Neurospora crassa OR74A: one gene and its partner. The protein of the gene in region 1 purifies or fractionates together with the protein of each later gene. This does not show direct contact. Links are inferred from orthologs where the notes say so. Each region holds a gene or a part of one and is shown on either strand. Other genes may lie near its edges.

What was found. The genes of interacting proteins can lie anywhere in the genome.
Region 2: the proteins of NCU03380 (region 1) and NCU00925 purify together in Saccharomyces cerevisiae (affinity purification with mass spectrometry; 8 studies listed by BioGRID, with this or other methods). This does not show direct contact. The link is inferred for Neurospora crassa OR74A from reciprocal best matches to the Saccharomyces cerevisiae genes SPB4 and NOP7.

Annotation. Positions count from the first base shown.
Region 1 is NC_026502.1:904,071-908,080, reverse strand, and holds NCU03380 (ATP-dependent rRNA helicase spb-4), read right to left. Parts: upstream 2,801-4,010; 5' UTR 2,724-2,800; coding exon 2,493-2,723; intron 2,429-2,492; coding exon 695-2,428; 3' UTR 384-694; downstream 1-383. UniProt on the Saccharomyces cerevisiae protein: ATP-binding RNA helicase involved in the biogenesis of 60S ribosomal subunits. Binds 90S pre-ribosomal particles and dissociates from pre-60S ribosomal particles after processing of 27SB pre-rRNA.
Region 2 is NC_026501.1:6,703,103-6,713,194, forward strand, and holds NCU00925 (pescadillo), read right to left. Parts: upstream 5,310-10,092; 5' UTR 5,182-5,309; coding exon 3,190-5,181; 3' UTR 3,079-3,189; downstream 1-3,078. Other genes in the region: NCU00926 (hypothetical protein), read right to left, coding at 332-2,398, 2,448-2,711; gpit-2 (glycosylphosphatidylinositol transamidase 2), read left to right, coding at 5,731-5,884, 5,967-7,096; tob37 (topogenesis of outer membrane beta barrel protein 37), read right to left, coding at 7,904-9,084, 9,265-9,412. UniProt on the Saccharomyces cerevisiae protein: Component of the NOP7 complex, which is required for maturation of the 25S and 5.8S ribosomal RNAs and formation of the 60S ribosome.

The DNA.
Region 1 (4,010 bases):
TCTTCGCCTGAATCACAGTCAAAGGCATACTGATGAATGAGAACATCGAATTTGGTTCCGGTACAATGCATGTTTTTCTCTGAACATGATGGTCCTTACAGCTCAGACAATAAAGATTCAATTAACTGCAAAACCTTGTCCCACTTCTAATCATGTTAACCCGGCGTGTGGTTGAGAGAACAAAACCGAACATGGACACTTCAACGTTATCCATCCTACTAGGGAAGGAAGGCCGTTGCAAGGCTGTGATATGCCTCCTTATGACTTGGAACCACGCCGTCCAGAGTCTATTAGGGATTATTTGGTTCAGGAAGGAGTTTGAAGATTGCCTAGAAGATAAAATCAAGACGCATGCATGCGAGCAAGAGTATACTGAAGGTGTGATGTAGTGGACTGAATACATTGGTTTGGTTTGTTCATACGAACACTTTGTTACCACAATGTCTCGAATTTCGAGAACATTTGTGATATCGATACTGTGTCTCCATTTGGGTGTTATGATAGATATTGTCTCAGGCAAAACAGCTGTACTTTTCGAGTACACCCATTATCATGATTACCATGAGGACTCATGGATACAGCATGCCAAGAACCAACAAAATTCCAATTCATCAAAAGGGTATATACGCCTCATACGCCTTTACGTCTTAGAAAATGAACCATTACCATCAACTCCCATTACCCAAGAAGCTACTCAATCATCAAACCCACCAAACTCTTCATCACTATCGTCCACCTTCTTCACCGGAGCCTTCGGCTTGGGTGGGTTCGCCGCAAGCGCAGCTGCCCTCTCCTCCGCCGCCTTGGCCTCGTTCCGTTTCCTCACCTCCTCAATCATCTGCTCCAGCTTGAGATGCTCCTCCTTCTCTTTCTCCGTCATCTCGCTGAATTTCTTGGCCTCCCTCTTTCTCCTCTTCTTCTCGCGCCTCTGCAGTTTCGTCTCCTCCTGTTCCGCCTTGCCGCTCCACGCCTCGTTCTTCTTGCGCTTGTCGCCCGTATTCTCTTCCTGTGCCCGCTTTGCCTTCTCCTCCTTCCACTTGGCCAGCTCTTCCTGACGCTTTTTCTCGCGCACCTTGTCCTTGAAAGGAATTTCTTCCGTGTTGATGCCCAGACCCAGAGAGCGGTCGATCTTGGCTTCGCGGACTTCGGGCATCTTGGGCAGCTCGAGAAGGCCGTAGCCCTTGGCTAGGTCGAGCCAGTCGAGGTCGGCGATGCGGAAGATGGAAGAAGCTTGGTGTTCGATGTAGGAGCGCGTCCAGGAAACGAAAGCGAGCTGGGCCATCTGGAAGATCTCGCGGTCGGCGAGGGCTTGCGATCGGAAGGCGGCGGAGACGCGCTCGACTTCATCAGGGGTGACGGAAATGGCGGGCTTCTCCAGGGGCGTGATGGGAGTTTGACGGACTTCAAGAAGCTGTACGTAGCCTTCCTCGCGACCCGGCTGGAGCAGAACGACGGCGAGACCCCGACGACCGGCACGGCCGGCACGACCGCAGCGGTGAATGAAAACCTTGGTGTCCGTGGGCGGGTCGTGCTGGATAACGAGGTCGACTTGGGGGATATCAAGACCGCGGGCGGCAAGATCGGTGGTGAGGAGGACCATGGGCGAGGTGGTGTTGACGAAACGCTCATAGTTCTTTTCGCGGACTTTAGGTTCGAGTTTGCCGTGCAGGGAGGTGACGGAAAAACCGGCGGGCAGGACGGCGCCGAGAATGCGGCTGAAGTACTTGACGGCCATGCATGAAGAGAAGAAGATGATGGATCGCTGGGGCCTGGGCTCGAGCTTTTCGAGGAGCTGGACAATTGCTGGCATTTTCTGGCTGGCTGGGGTAACAAGGTAGCTCATCTGTAGAGACATTGGTGTTTTCCTCTCTTGAATTATGCCACCGTCCTTCAGACTCTTCACTCTGACGGTGATCTTGTGTGGGTACAATAGACCAACTGTAATCAGCCTTTCAACGGCGTCACTGAGCGAAGCACTGAAAAGACCAGTACGGCGCTGCTTCGGAAGATATCCGAGAATGCGGTTGAGCTCGTTCGCGAAACCCATATCGAGAAGGCGATCGGCCTCATCCATAATGAGAACCTCAAATGTAGACGCGGGAGCCTTGACGTATGCGCTCGACAAGAGTTCGGCAAGACGGCCGGGAGTGCCAATTAGGAGATTCGGGGAAAGACGAAGGAATGTACCGAGATCCTCAGCAGCCTTGGTGGTGCCTCCGACAAGTAGTTGGGGGACAACGACAGGCTGGGTTGCTGTTGGGCGCTTCTCGTCGCTTTTGGCGTGGGAAATGGCTTCAGCGGAGGGTTCGTGAAACTTGACGAGGGAAACGAGGACATTGTAAATCTGGGTTGCAAGTTCGCGGGTGGGCGAGATGATAATGCCTTGGACATGGTTTCGCTTGGCTGGTTCTTCGCCGCGCAGGAGTTTCTGTTGCAGAATCGGTTAGCATATGATCATCCTGAGCTGGTAGACAGCAAGAGATCCGGCTTACCTCAACTACCGGAATCAAAAAGGCAAGTGTCTTTCCACTGCCTGTTACGGCCTCGACGACAACATCTTTATTTCCACGGAAGAGCTCAAGGCATGACTTTTGAACGGGAGTCGGCTGGGTAAAGCCCATGGAGGAGAGGTAGTCAAGAATCCATTGGGCGAGAGGAGGCGTGAGAGCGTCCCAAGACCTTGGAGGCTTCCGGACCTTAGTCTGTGGTTGGGTAGGCGCCATGTTAATTATGTGGTTGGCGGAGTATCGGGGCGTTGTAATCGATCCCTGAAGCTCTGCGTATTGCCCGTGGTGATAGCAGTGCGATGCTGTTGAAACAAAAATTGGCCTGGCGACCATCCAAACAATCCTTATCTTATCTGCCTATCGATAAAGCTAGCGTGAGCGTAACCTCGCAAGTTGCATACAGTACACAGCAGCCTTCACTTCTTTCGAATCCAATTTGATCGGTCCAAACCTAAAGATCTTCCCATTAGATTTCAGAAATTCGTTGGACAACTCACGACTTATACTAATTATATCCCAGATGTGCGCTCAAGCCGTTTTGTATCGTGAATATCAATAGACAGCTTTCGGATCTTCACGATCGTCTGTTGTTACTAGTGCAATTATCAGATATTGGAATGTGGGTCTCATCGAAGAACCCACGCAGCCACGGCAACCTGACAAAGGCTTGATCTTATTTGCTTACATGGTATAGGTAGTGTAATGCTACAACTGAAGGTGTCAATATTCAGCTCGACTAAGCTCCAGTGGCTCCCAAAATTGAAGTCTACGTCGTCTTCATCCAACCTTGTTTGACGACTGGCCGTCTGCTCAAGTCCATGATAGGCAAACATGCTAAGAACGCTTGAACCACTTTTACATGATGAGGAGATTGTGTACAAAGAAATCCCCATCAACCGAGATCGACCAAGGTGATGAACGTCAACGGTTGAGCAGAGTACAAAGTCTCTTTTCAACAAGGCACGGCAATATACTATGGTATAGGTATATCGAGCAACGCCTGGCATGAACTGAAAATGGCGGCATTCACGCCCAACCGTCTTCCTTCAGTTCAGTCTCAACTTCCTGTTGTCACATGCAAGGTCGCGTCGCTGTGTGCTGTTGCTGCTCTTGAAAGGCCACCACCCACCAATGTCATCACGCCTTGCCGCAATTGGGGTAACGGACCAGGGCAGTGAGCTGGGGAGCCCGGTGCAACCACCTGAAGCGCAACGCAGGACACGCGCCGGCTGATTCCCACTCGCACTCATGGCCGGGCATCCGCAACAGCCGAAATTTCTGTTCTTCACAAACACCGAACCACTGTCATTCGTCTATGATCGTCATCACTGGATCCTAAACCAAGTCCAGCCCAGGGTAACGTGCCACCTCAGCCACCGAGTACGGGTACAGTTTCTTTTTTTTCCTGCTTTGCACATCTTTTTTTCCTCTTGCTGTCAAGATACCCTTCTTTTTCCTGGACCTGAACCCTCCATATCCTATCGATTCGGCAGAAGAGTCGAA
Region 2 (10,092 bases), on another chromosome or scaffold:
GAAATGAAGTTGTGCCTCTTGGATGTTTGAGATGTCTTGAAGATTCGCGCTATTAGGATCCAAAGGAAGCTCAAGTTGGAGACACCCGCTTCACTCGCATTGCGTAAGAAGAAATAGAAGAATTACATTGAAACGTGTAAATCGAGGGAGGAAACAAATTTACTAAGATCGTACCCTGGGAAGGTTGCCTGACGCCTCAGAGAGATGGTAGTGGTAAGTGAGACCTTGGTATGGTAAAGAGCATCCGCAACAGTTTTCCATAACAGCAGTTTTCCCAGTTCAGATCTTGCTATCTCTTGAAATCTTCATGAGATATCGAGACTACTTTGTTTCAGAGGTCGAAATCATGTCCTCTAGTCTCATCATTCCCAAGCTTCATATCCACATCCGACCCATACTCCGGCCTCGTTTTCCCTCTCCCTCTTTCCCTCTCCCTCTGTATTAGATCCCCTCCTCTCCACCCCTTCCGCACCTTAATCGGCTGCAAAAACCCGTCCAAATGTATACCACCCTCCATCTCATCCATACTATCTTGATCATCCCTTCCCACCACAGAGCCTGCGGGAGAAGCAGGTGGACTCCGCCCATGGACAAGCTTCAAATGTCGATGCATATTCGCTCTTCTCCCAAACCCTTCCACAGCTCTCGCACACTCAGGGTACGGGCAGAAATACACATCCCCTCCGGCCGCCGGCGTGACCGACCGTCTCCTCACCCTAAGCCCGCCACCGAGTGCGGGTGTACCCGCCCTTTTAGCTCTGCTCCTGCTACGGGCCGGGCTTTCGCTTCTACCGCGTGCCCTTTCTGTTTCTGTTCCCGCTTCAGAAGCAGCTTCAACACCCTTCGTGACTTCCTCGCCTTCTTGCTGCTCATCATCGACATCAGGTGAAAACGTCCTCACAAGACTCGGCTGTCGACTAACCGTCCGTCTCTGCTCCAACGCAATATCAGTGGCGTCCACCTCCTCTTCAGAAGAGTCGGGGAGCGGGTCGCCGGGGTGGTAAATCTTCGTCTTGACACGCCTAGAGGAAGAAGAACAAAGGGTATGCATCGCCATCTCTTCCCCGAAAAGCGTAGCGCATCTCTGCGTCGCGCGAGCAATCACGCTCTGCGGAAACCCAGCCAGGGCAGCTGCCCCGAGGACGTCGCGCCAGTCGCGGAGACCCCAGCGTGCGACGCGGCCCATGCGGTCTTTTTCTTGGGCGGCGGTCAAGGCGGCGGTGCTGGTTACGCTTCTGCTTCTGCTTCTGCTTCTGCTTCTGGCCCTGTGCCTATTGGGACGTTCCGTTGTCTTCTTCTTGGAGGAGGGTAGTTGGTATGACCTTGGCGGCCCGCGGGCTTCGGCTTCAGAAGCTGTTTCGTCGGCGTCAGCGTCGGCGTCGTCGGTAGTATGAGAGGAGGAAGCCCGGGAGCGAAAGAAAGAGGGTATCCGCTTGTGCGTCTCGCGGGCGACGCGTTCAAGCATTTCCTGCTCGGTCTCGCCCTCGAGGGGAATGCGTAATTTTCTTTTACGCCCTCGCTTGCTGATTCCTCGCGGCGAATTTGATTTAGCCTCGGACGCTGTCGCTTCTGCGGAATGTGATGGGGAGCGCGCACGGGGTCTTCCCCTTAGTGTGCGCTGCTGCTGCTGCTGCTGCTGCTGCTGTCGATCAGGCTCTTCCGTTTCGGCGTCGTTGTCGTTATCCTCAGTGTCACTAGCAGAAGATTCGGATAGGTCGCGGAGACCGGCGACGCGGGCGTTGTGTAGTATTGTCAAGGTTTCGTCCAGCTTTGAGAGGATGCGCCGCGATGCGGGACGGAGCAGTTTGTAGGATCTGTCGTCATCGACTGATGGGCCAGGAATGTAGGTAGGCGTAGGAGCTCGAGGACGTCGACGTGAAGAGCTGGGGGTATACGAAGCAGAGCCCTCTTGTTTACTGCTCTCGTCTTGGGAGACCGGCTCACGTTTGACCGGGCTCGAGAGTGGTACGCTATACCGGGCCGACTCGTCGTTGCGCCGTGGCGGGCTGGATAGCACCTGACTGGATTCGGCATGGTGGTGATGGTCGTTGTCGCCCTTTTCTATCGAGTCCACAACGCCATCGTTCCTTTCGCCCATCGCGTGTATGGCGGAGTGATCATCCTCGTCGTCTTCTTCGGGGAAGCCTCTGCTTCGGAACTTTTCCTTGGCACATCGTAAAATTGTTGCCGAAATCTCTTCCTCTAGATTCCTGCTGGGGTAAGTCCGGACGGGCGGACGCAGCGTGAAAGCCTCGTGCTCGTCTGCGGTCCGCGGGAGGAGCTCATCATCAACCACCTCACCAGTCCTCAGTGGCCAAGCCGTCCATCGGTGGCTCGGAGCCCATTCATTCTCTCTGCGCTGTGAACCGTCTTCGTCTTCAGGCTGATCGTTGGTCGCCTGAGCAATTGTTAGCTTTTGCTTTTCTAAACTGACTCGGTAGACTCACTTCTTTGGTCTCCTGCCTTTTGGCTCGGGTTCGCAATGCGTGCGCGTTGTAGAGATGTGCTGACAAGTCTCGCCTGCGCAAGCCCTCTAACGCTTGGTAGGCCTTTCTTTCGTGCGCGGTGAATGTGAGCCATGTGGAGGGGGCCCCATTCCACCGATTGGGGCGGGTTTCGTGCAGTTCATCTGATGCGATGGAATTAATCTCTTCAGTGTCCTTATCCCAATCCTCGTCGCCGGAATCTTCTTGATTCAAGTGTGAAGACATTGCATGGCCCAGTTTAGTGGGTGCTCTTCCCGCGTTGGCAGGGTTGTTGAGTGCAAATTCTGGTGATCAATCACTAAGGACGGGAGTGACAAGAGATTGAAGGTCGAAGAACCGCACTGACGTACGAAAGCATCCCAGTAGTAGTACCACAGCAACAAGGATGGAGAAACTGATGAACCTCTGACTCCTCACTCAATTCTTTTACTTTGTACTCTCACCTTTCGTTGGTCCTATTTTCGGTTCGTTCCAACTTCTCTTGGGCGTTACGGTTTGGTTCGTAGCGACCCCTAACCCTCAGACGAAAGCCTCGTGGGCGCTCGTTTTCATGTCACGATTATTCACATTTGCATCAGTTCAGGACGACGAGTAGGATTCAAAACTTGTCGATTACACAAAAAGAAAAGAGAAAAATGAGCCTTTGGTATCCCATTTCAAAACATAAAGTGCTAAAAAATTACGCCTTGCCAGTGTTTTAACCTTACGCCTTCTGCGCCTTTTCCTTCTCCAGCTTTCTCCTCTTGGCGCGGAGCTTCTCGTCCTGAGCGCTCTTCTTGTTGTTGGTATACTGCATCTGCTCAAACAGCTTGCGCTTCTTCTTGCTCAGCATGCCCTTGGCGCGCTCCAGGTCCTCCGCCTCCTCGCGTGCCTTCTTTTCAAGAGCCTTGCGCTGTTCTAGCTTGGCTTTGGTCTTGGAGTCTACCTTTGTATTCTGCACCTTCTTGCCTTGGAGCTCGGCTTCTAGCTCAAGCTGACGCTGGAGGGTCTTGGACTCCTCCTCATCTTCCTCAGCATCCTCCTCCTCGGCCTCCTCGGCATCCTCCTCGTCACCCTCCTCCTCTTCTTCATCGTCCTCGGCCTCATCAACATCCATGTCGTTTTCGACATCGGAACCATCCTCAGCATTACCCTTCTCGGCATCCTCGAGGTCGGCTTCAATAGCCTCGGCCTCGGTTTGCTGAGCCTCAAGGGGCAGAGTAGGATCGTACTGGCCAGGGGCGGCCTTGACGAAGGGGCTAAGATGGGGAGGGAGAGCGGCGCCAGGAGCATAGAGCTCAGGGCTCTTGAGTTCCTCGTCGTTGACGCAGTCCCATACCCATTGGGGCTGGACATATATCCTGCCGGGGTATCTCTGGTTGGGTCCGACCTTCTGGGCCGTCTGATTGTCCTCGCCATCGCCATCCTCGTTGGTAGCGGCTTGTACGACTGGCCTGTCAATGATGTGATGGGTGATGGAGGGATCCGACTCGTCATTTGTGAAGGCACCCTCGCCGAGGACGGAATCCCAGCCTATCCTCTTGCAGCCAAAGGCACGAAGAATGAACTCGAGAGGCTGGCGGGGGGTCTCACGGGAGAGGTAGAATGTGAAGTTGGCGAACAGCTGCGAAGGGTCACTGCTGCTGTACGCCGGCTGAGGAAGAACATCACCACCAGGGGCAACTGGCTCGAACTTGTCGATGGAGTCTGTGGGCTTCTCCTCATCGTCGGCCTCGGCATCTTCCTCGGCAGTCTCGTCGCTCTTGGACTCGTCCTCCTTCAGTTGCTTGATAATCTTGTCAACCTCAGCCTGGACCTTGGGGTCAGGACCCTGCTGTTGTTCCTCCCCGTTTGTGACGGCCTTGGTCTCGCCCTGGGTGGCCATGTTGACACCCTCCAGAGAGAAAGCGCCGAGCTCAGCACCGTTCTCGTCCTTGAGCTGGTCGAACTTGGGAGGATACTTGAGGCCGATCGAGCTGTAAAGTCGGTAGTTGACGAATCCAAGAAGAGTCATGTAGAACTCGACGAAAGTGCCCATAATGCGGAAATCGACATCGCCGACGATCCTCTGGTTGAACTTGTAGGGAACGAGCCAGAGAATATCCTCGCCCTGGATGTTGGCCTGGTAGTAGATACCCTTGATCGACAGGAACGACTTGCGCAGGCTGTGGGAAACAATAAGGTAGTGTTGGAATTCGAGGCAGAGACGCTCGCAGCGGGCGATCATCTTGGCGGGAACCGCGCTCGTGGAAGGGAGGTTGGCGAAGAGGAAGAGCATGGACAAGCAGTCATCGAGATCGCGGAGCGCGTCGTTGAAAGTCGGGTAGCGCTCACGGATGACGTGGTTGAGAGTGTACCTGGGCTTGCCAGTGGCCTCGGGGCGGGCAGCATGGCGCTCGAAGCGGGCGGCATCCGAAACATCACCTCTGCCAAGAGCACGGGAGATCTTCTTCTCGAGCACCTTCTGGTCACGGAACTTTTGAAGAAGGGGCTCGTGGAGGAGGTACTGAATGTCCTTGGTGTAGTAGAAGGTGGTCGAGGCAGTGGCCGACTTGGAAACCTTCTTCTTGTTACGAGGCTCGCGCGGGTAGATACCCTTCCAGATGCAAAGCTTGCGGAAGTCGGGAAGGCTAAGCTGCAGCTTCTTCACAGCCTGTGTGCGGGTGATGTAGTTCTTGGCCGCGCCGGCCTGGCCCTTCTTCTTGATTTTTGGCATTTTGGGGTGTGGTGGTGGTGGTTGTGGTTGTTGGGTGTAGGTGGAAGAGTGAGAGAAGGAGAAGAGGACCAAGGATGGATCTCTTCAGTCTGCAGACTCGATCGTTATCGAAGCCAATTGTAGGTGGGGGCGCTCTGTGCACTTGCAATCAACTTTTTTTCTGACCCTCGCGGTCCTGAACTTTTTATGCCACTTCCCACCGCCTGAGCTGATCAAAGATAAGATAACGTAGCGGATGGAAAGACGGGAGGCATCAGATAGGCACAGATGAGGCTACTAGAATACATACTGGGCCCGTCTGGCCCAGATAGGTTCCCGCTCCCGTCTGGATTGGATTCCAGAACCCCTTGTCCCACAGGGACCCGCCAGCTGTGGAGGCCGGGCCAGCTGTCGGTCTGCTTTGGCGGGGACAGCGATTGACAAGGCGACCTAACGTGCTGGGCGCGACTCCTGTATAGCGCAACTGGACGGGCATGTCGTTAGAAGTAACTTGACCCTGGGACAAGTTCGACATCACAGCTCCCACCTCGTCGTATGGCGAATTGAACAATGAATGGCGGCAAGGTAACGTTGAGGAGGACGGCTGGCTTATACGCCGGTGCTGCCGTCCTGCGACTTGCCCTCTTTACTCTGTTCCCCGGTCTTCCAGACCTCCTGACTGGCCGTGTCGAGATCTCAACGCCAGTAACAAGCTTCAAGCGCCGTATGTTGTAGCTTTTGTTTTTCTCTTCGGCATTCGTCGCATCGTCTCGAGGAACACAGGTTTGCTAACTACCAAAATCTAGTCCAAGAAGGCCTCTTCCTGTATAACCATAACGTCTCTCCTTACGATGGCGGCGTCTACCACCAGGCGCCCCTCTTGCTGCCCATCTTCAACTTGCTCCCGAGCTTCGCGGCGTTTCCCATCTTCACGTACCTTCTCTACATCGCTATCGATATTCTGAGCGCCCATGCTCTTTTAAGGATTGCAGAGTCTGGCGAGGCCAGCTCGTCTGCGCGCTTCACCTCCCCGCGCCGTGACAAGCGTTGGAGTGGTGCCATCATTGCCGCGCTCTTCCTGTTCAACCCCTTCACCATCGCGACATGCATTGGGCGTTCGACCACCGTCTTCACGACCTGTGCCATTCTCCACGCCGTCGCCAATGCCATCTCCGGCAGACCCTTTCACGCCATGGTCGCCCTAGCCTTCGCATCATACCTCTCCATGTATCCGCTACTCCTCCTCCCGCCTCTCATTCTTCTTTGCTATGACAGGCAGAAGTTGCCCGCTACCGGAGCGCCCAATGCGTGGATCAAGTTTACCGCGACCATGGTTATGGATGCGTTTGGTGCTCTGGCAGTGCTTTTCCAAATGTCGTTCTTCCTGACCGGCTCATGGGAGTTCCTTAGTTCCACCTATGGTGTGCAACTTACACTGTCTGACCTGGCCCCCAATATCGGCCTGTGGTGGTACTTCTTTGTCGAGATGTTCGACTCGTTCCGTTCATTCTTCTTGGCCGTCTTTTGGCTGCATTTGTCGTCATATGTTGGCGGGTTGAGCGTGCGCCTTCGCCAGCAGCCGCTTGCGGTGATCACTCTGCTGCTGGGTATCTTCAGCATCTTCAAGCCATACCCTAGCATCGCGGATGCGTCGTTGTTCTTGGGCATGGTGCCGCTGTATAGACATGTCTTCCCGTTGCTGCGGTATTCGTTTGTCATTGCTGCCATTATTATTTACACGACCTTTCTCGGTCCTGCGTTCTACCATCTGTGGATCTATGCTGGTAGCGGAAACGCAAACTTCTTCTATGCTATCACGCTTGTTTGGGGCCTTGGACTGAGCTTGTTGGTCTGCGATCTCGCCTTTGCTGTCCTGAGGGATGAGTGGGAGGTTGAGCGACCCGAAATGGCCGGCAAGGAGATTCGTCAGATTTGAGAGGCCTACAACAAACATAAGGCAAATGTAATATAACAGTTTAGTACGTTTATTTACATCATTATCATCGAGTGTCAACGAAGGAAAGACTCATGGTCATCCTGTCACCGATTCCGTACTTGGTATATATCCAGACATCGACAACCAACTAGAGGCATCTCTCTGCTTCACAATCATTCTAGTTTGATCTCACTCCACATCATCTCGGCGCTTTCCGCACATATCCATCAATTCGTCACGTCTTCCAATGGTGCAAAAACGTCCCCTTCCCGCCTGTCCGCGTCACCCATGCCCTTTCAAGATTACCCCTTTATGCGTGATTCCCAGCGCACTGAAGTGTGAGGGCTGTTGGTGCAGTGATTAAGCACGCACGCAGCCTTCGAACTCATTCCTTCACTCGTACTCATTAAACCCACAGGGAACCGAAAGGCAAGTCCACATGCTAAGTGTAAAGTAAAGCCATGTTGAGATGGGACCAAAAGTGAAGGCCGCTGATAGAATGGAACATAGCCAGACAGATAATCCGGGGTTGTCAGCGGCGAACGAGAGAATCCAGAGAAAAACTCGCATGTTGGAAGAAGGCCTAGTGACTCTTGGGGTGATCACTCAATTACAATTGTTTATCTGCTAAATGGCATCAGTTGCGCATGAGCTTTACAATGCATCGTATGGGATCTTCTTTGCTGTAACCAACTTCACCCTGTATCGCTTTCCCATTGGGTATCCTCATCCGTTCTCGTATCATTCCAAGTTTCCATCATAGACACATATCATACACTCCCCCAAGGTTCTCTACCCTCAACGTCTTCATGCAAGACCAGCGAACATGGCTCCTGCCGCCCCAAAGCTGCCCAAGCCTACCAGTGGCCTATGCCACGTCTGTAACGGCGCGCCCAGCAACCCTCGGTATCGGTACCAGTAAATACCGAGGCCGGCAACGTTGATAGCCAGCAGAGTCAACCCGGCACCAGCCAGCAAGAGACTGCGTTCACTCTCACCAACGCTTCTCCTTACAACGAGCTGTGTCTCGGCAGAGTTCTCTTCAGCTACCCTTCTTTGCCTCAACGCCCACCACCTGCTCCATTCCCGTCCAAGCATTGGGATATCGTCAATTACGGCCCTCACAAACCGCCCAACGATACTGAGCGCCGAGTCGCAGGCACTGACAGCGGGATCACTCTCTCTATCCGCCCACGGCAGCACCTTGCCGCTGTCAGGGAACGTCTTTCTCCTGTATTCCAGCACAAACTTGCATAATCCGGCATACTTTTTCTGCAACACTTCCTTCAACCAAGGCCTCGGCACCTCAGGAAGCAGCATGAGCGCCAGGTAAGCAAACGCAAGACACTTGGTCTCCAGCGTCACCTTGATCCTTGCACCGCCCTCTTTAGCCTCCTCCTCCTCCTCCTCCTCCTCCTCCCCGTCCTCTTCTTCCAGGAAATCAACTTCCCCAAGCACATCAAACACCTCCGCCGCCAGCCCCTCCAACTTGATCCTCCTCTTCATCTCGGGACTCAACTGGCCCTTGACACCGCTATTCTGCCCGCCGACCGCCTTCCTCAGCGCCTTCGGGATCTGCACCCAACCCGCAGCCTCGCGCTCCCGCTCCTCCCTCTCCAGCCGCTCCATCTCCGCGTCCGTATCCAGGCTGCTCATACCCAGGTGCGCCGCGCGCGCGGCCATGGCGGCCCGCACGGCGAGCGGCTCCGTCCACGGTAAGGGGAACGGGAGAATGGCGCTGTAGGCGGGTCGAGTGGTTTCAGAGTAGTTGGCCGAGGAGACATAGAGGGACAGGGCAAGGAGCGGGGCGGCCGAGGAGGTCAGGAGGGCCTTGTAAGCTTGAGAGTCGGCGTATACGCGTGAGGGGAGGGTGGTGACGTCAGGGTGGTGGTAAGAGGGTGGTTGAAGGGTGGAGAGATAGTTGACGATAGGGTCGAAGCCGGAGATCCATGTTGCCGTGGAGGGGTTGTAGAGTGCCGGGAGGTGATCTGTATCGAGATGAATGGGATTTGGCCGTTAGCTTGATGGAATTGACATGGGAAAACCGTACGAGAATGAAATTGCGCCGGAGGGAGGATGGAGCGGGCACTTGCTCGTTGGAGGGAATCGGGGCTGGGGTGTGTCTGAGATGGCGACTGGTTGAGTGACACTGGATATGGTGAGCTTACGGGATGGAACGGCAGAGGGGCTGCTCTGTACGAGCAGGTAGTCGGCGGCACTTAGGGTTTGCGCAAAGTACGTAACGGTCGCAAGGCATTCGGCGTCGATAGAGGGGAGGCCGAAAGCCGGGCCCCAGACATGGAGCTCTAGCGTCATTTATTTGCTTCGGAGGGTCAGGTAGGGATTGGGAATAGCCTTATAAGGATGGGGTGGTTATGTTGATGGATGGGTTGTTGTCGTTGGACCTTGTGGCACGTATCGTGGGGTATGTCAAATGCCGGTGGGCTTGTTGGAAGATGGGGGGGATCGAAGCTCTGCCGAGATTGATGAGTACGACAGAGACGTTGCCAACCTAACCCCAGCAAGGGCAACCTACCTATGCGGGTACCTGATAGCGATGGTCAATGGACCGTAATGTTGAGGAAAAGAAAAGGCTTGAAATCTTGCCAGTCGTCTATTGGTCAAAATACGATATGATGGTGCGATTTCGGCTGAAACAGTCGCAAGTTTAAGAGCAGGACGTGACAACGAAGCCCTCACTCCTTGTCGCCCTCTGACGTGAGCTCTCGTTGTCCCCATCCGCAGATGCCCACCCCGCACAATCGCGAACTCACGTGTAGATAGGATGATAGAACTCCCCTTTTCCACTTCTACTTTCAAGGGGAAAGAAGCGAGCAAAAGCACGGGCCTTGGCCCTTGCAAGGTCCCTACACTAACATCTCATCAGAATTGCCTGCGGCACCAAGGAACGACCAGATGATGATCGACGCCCTATTTTAGGTTTGCCTCGGCTGTCGCATTCCCACACTGCCAGATGCACAACTTTGAAATTTACA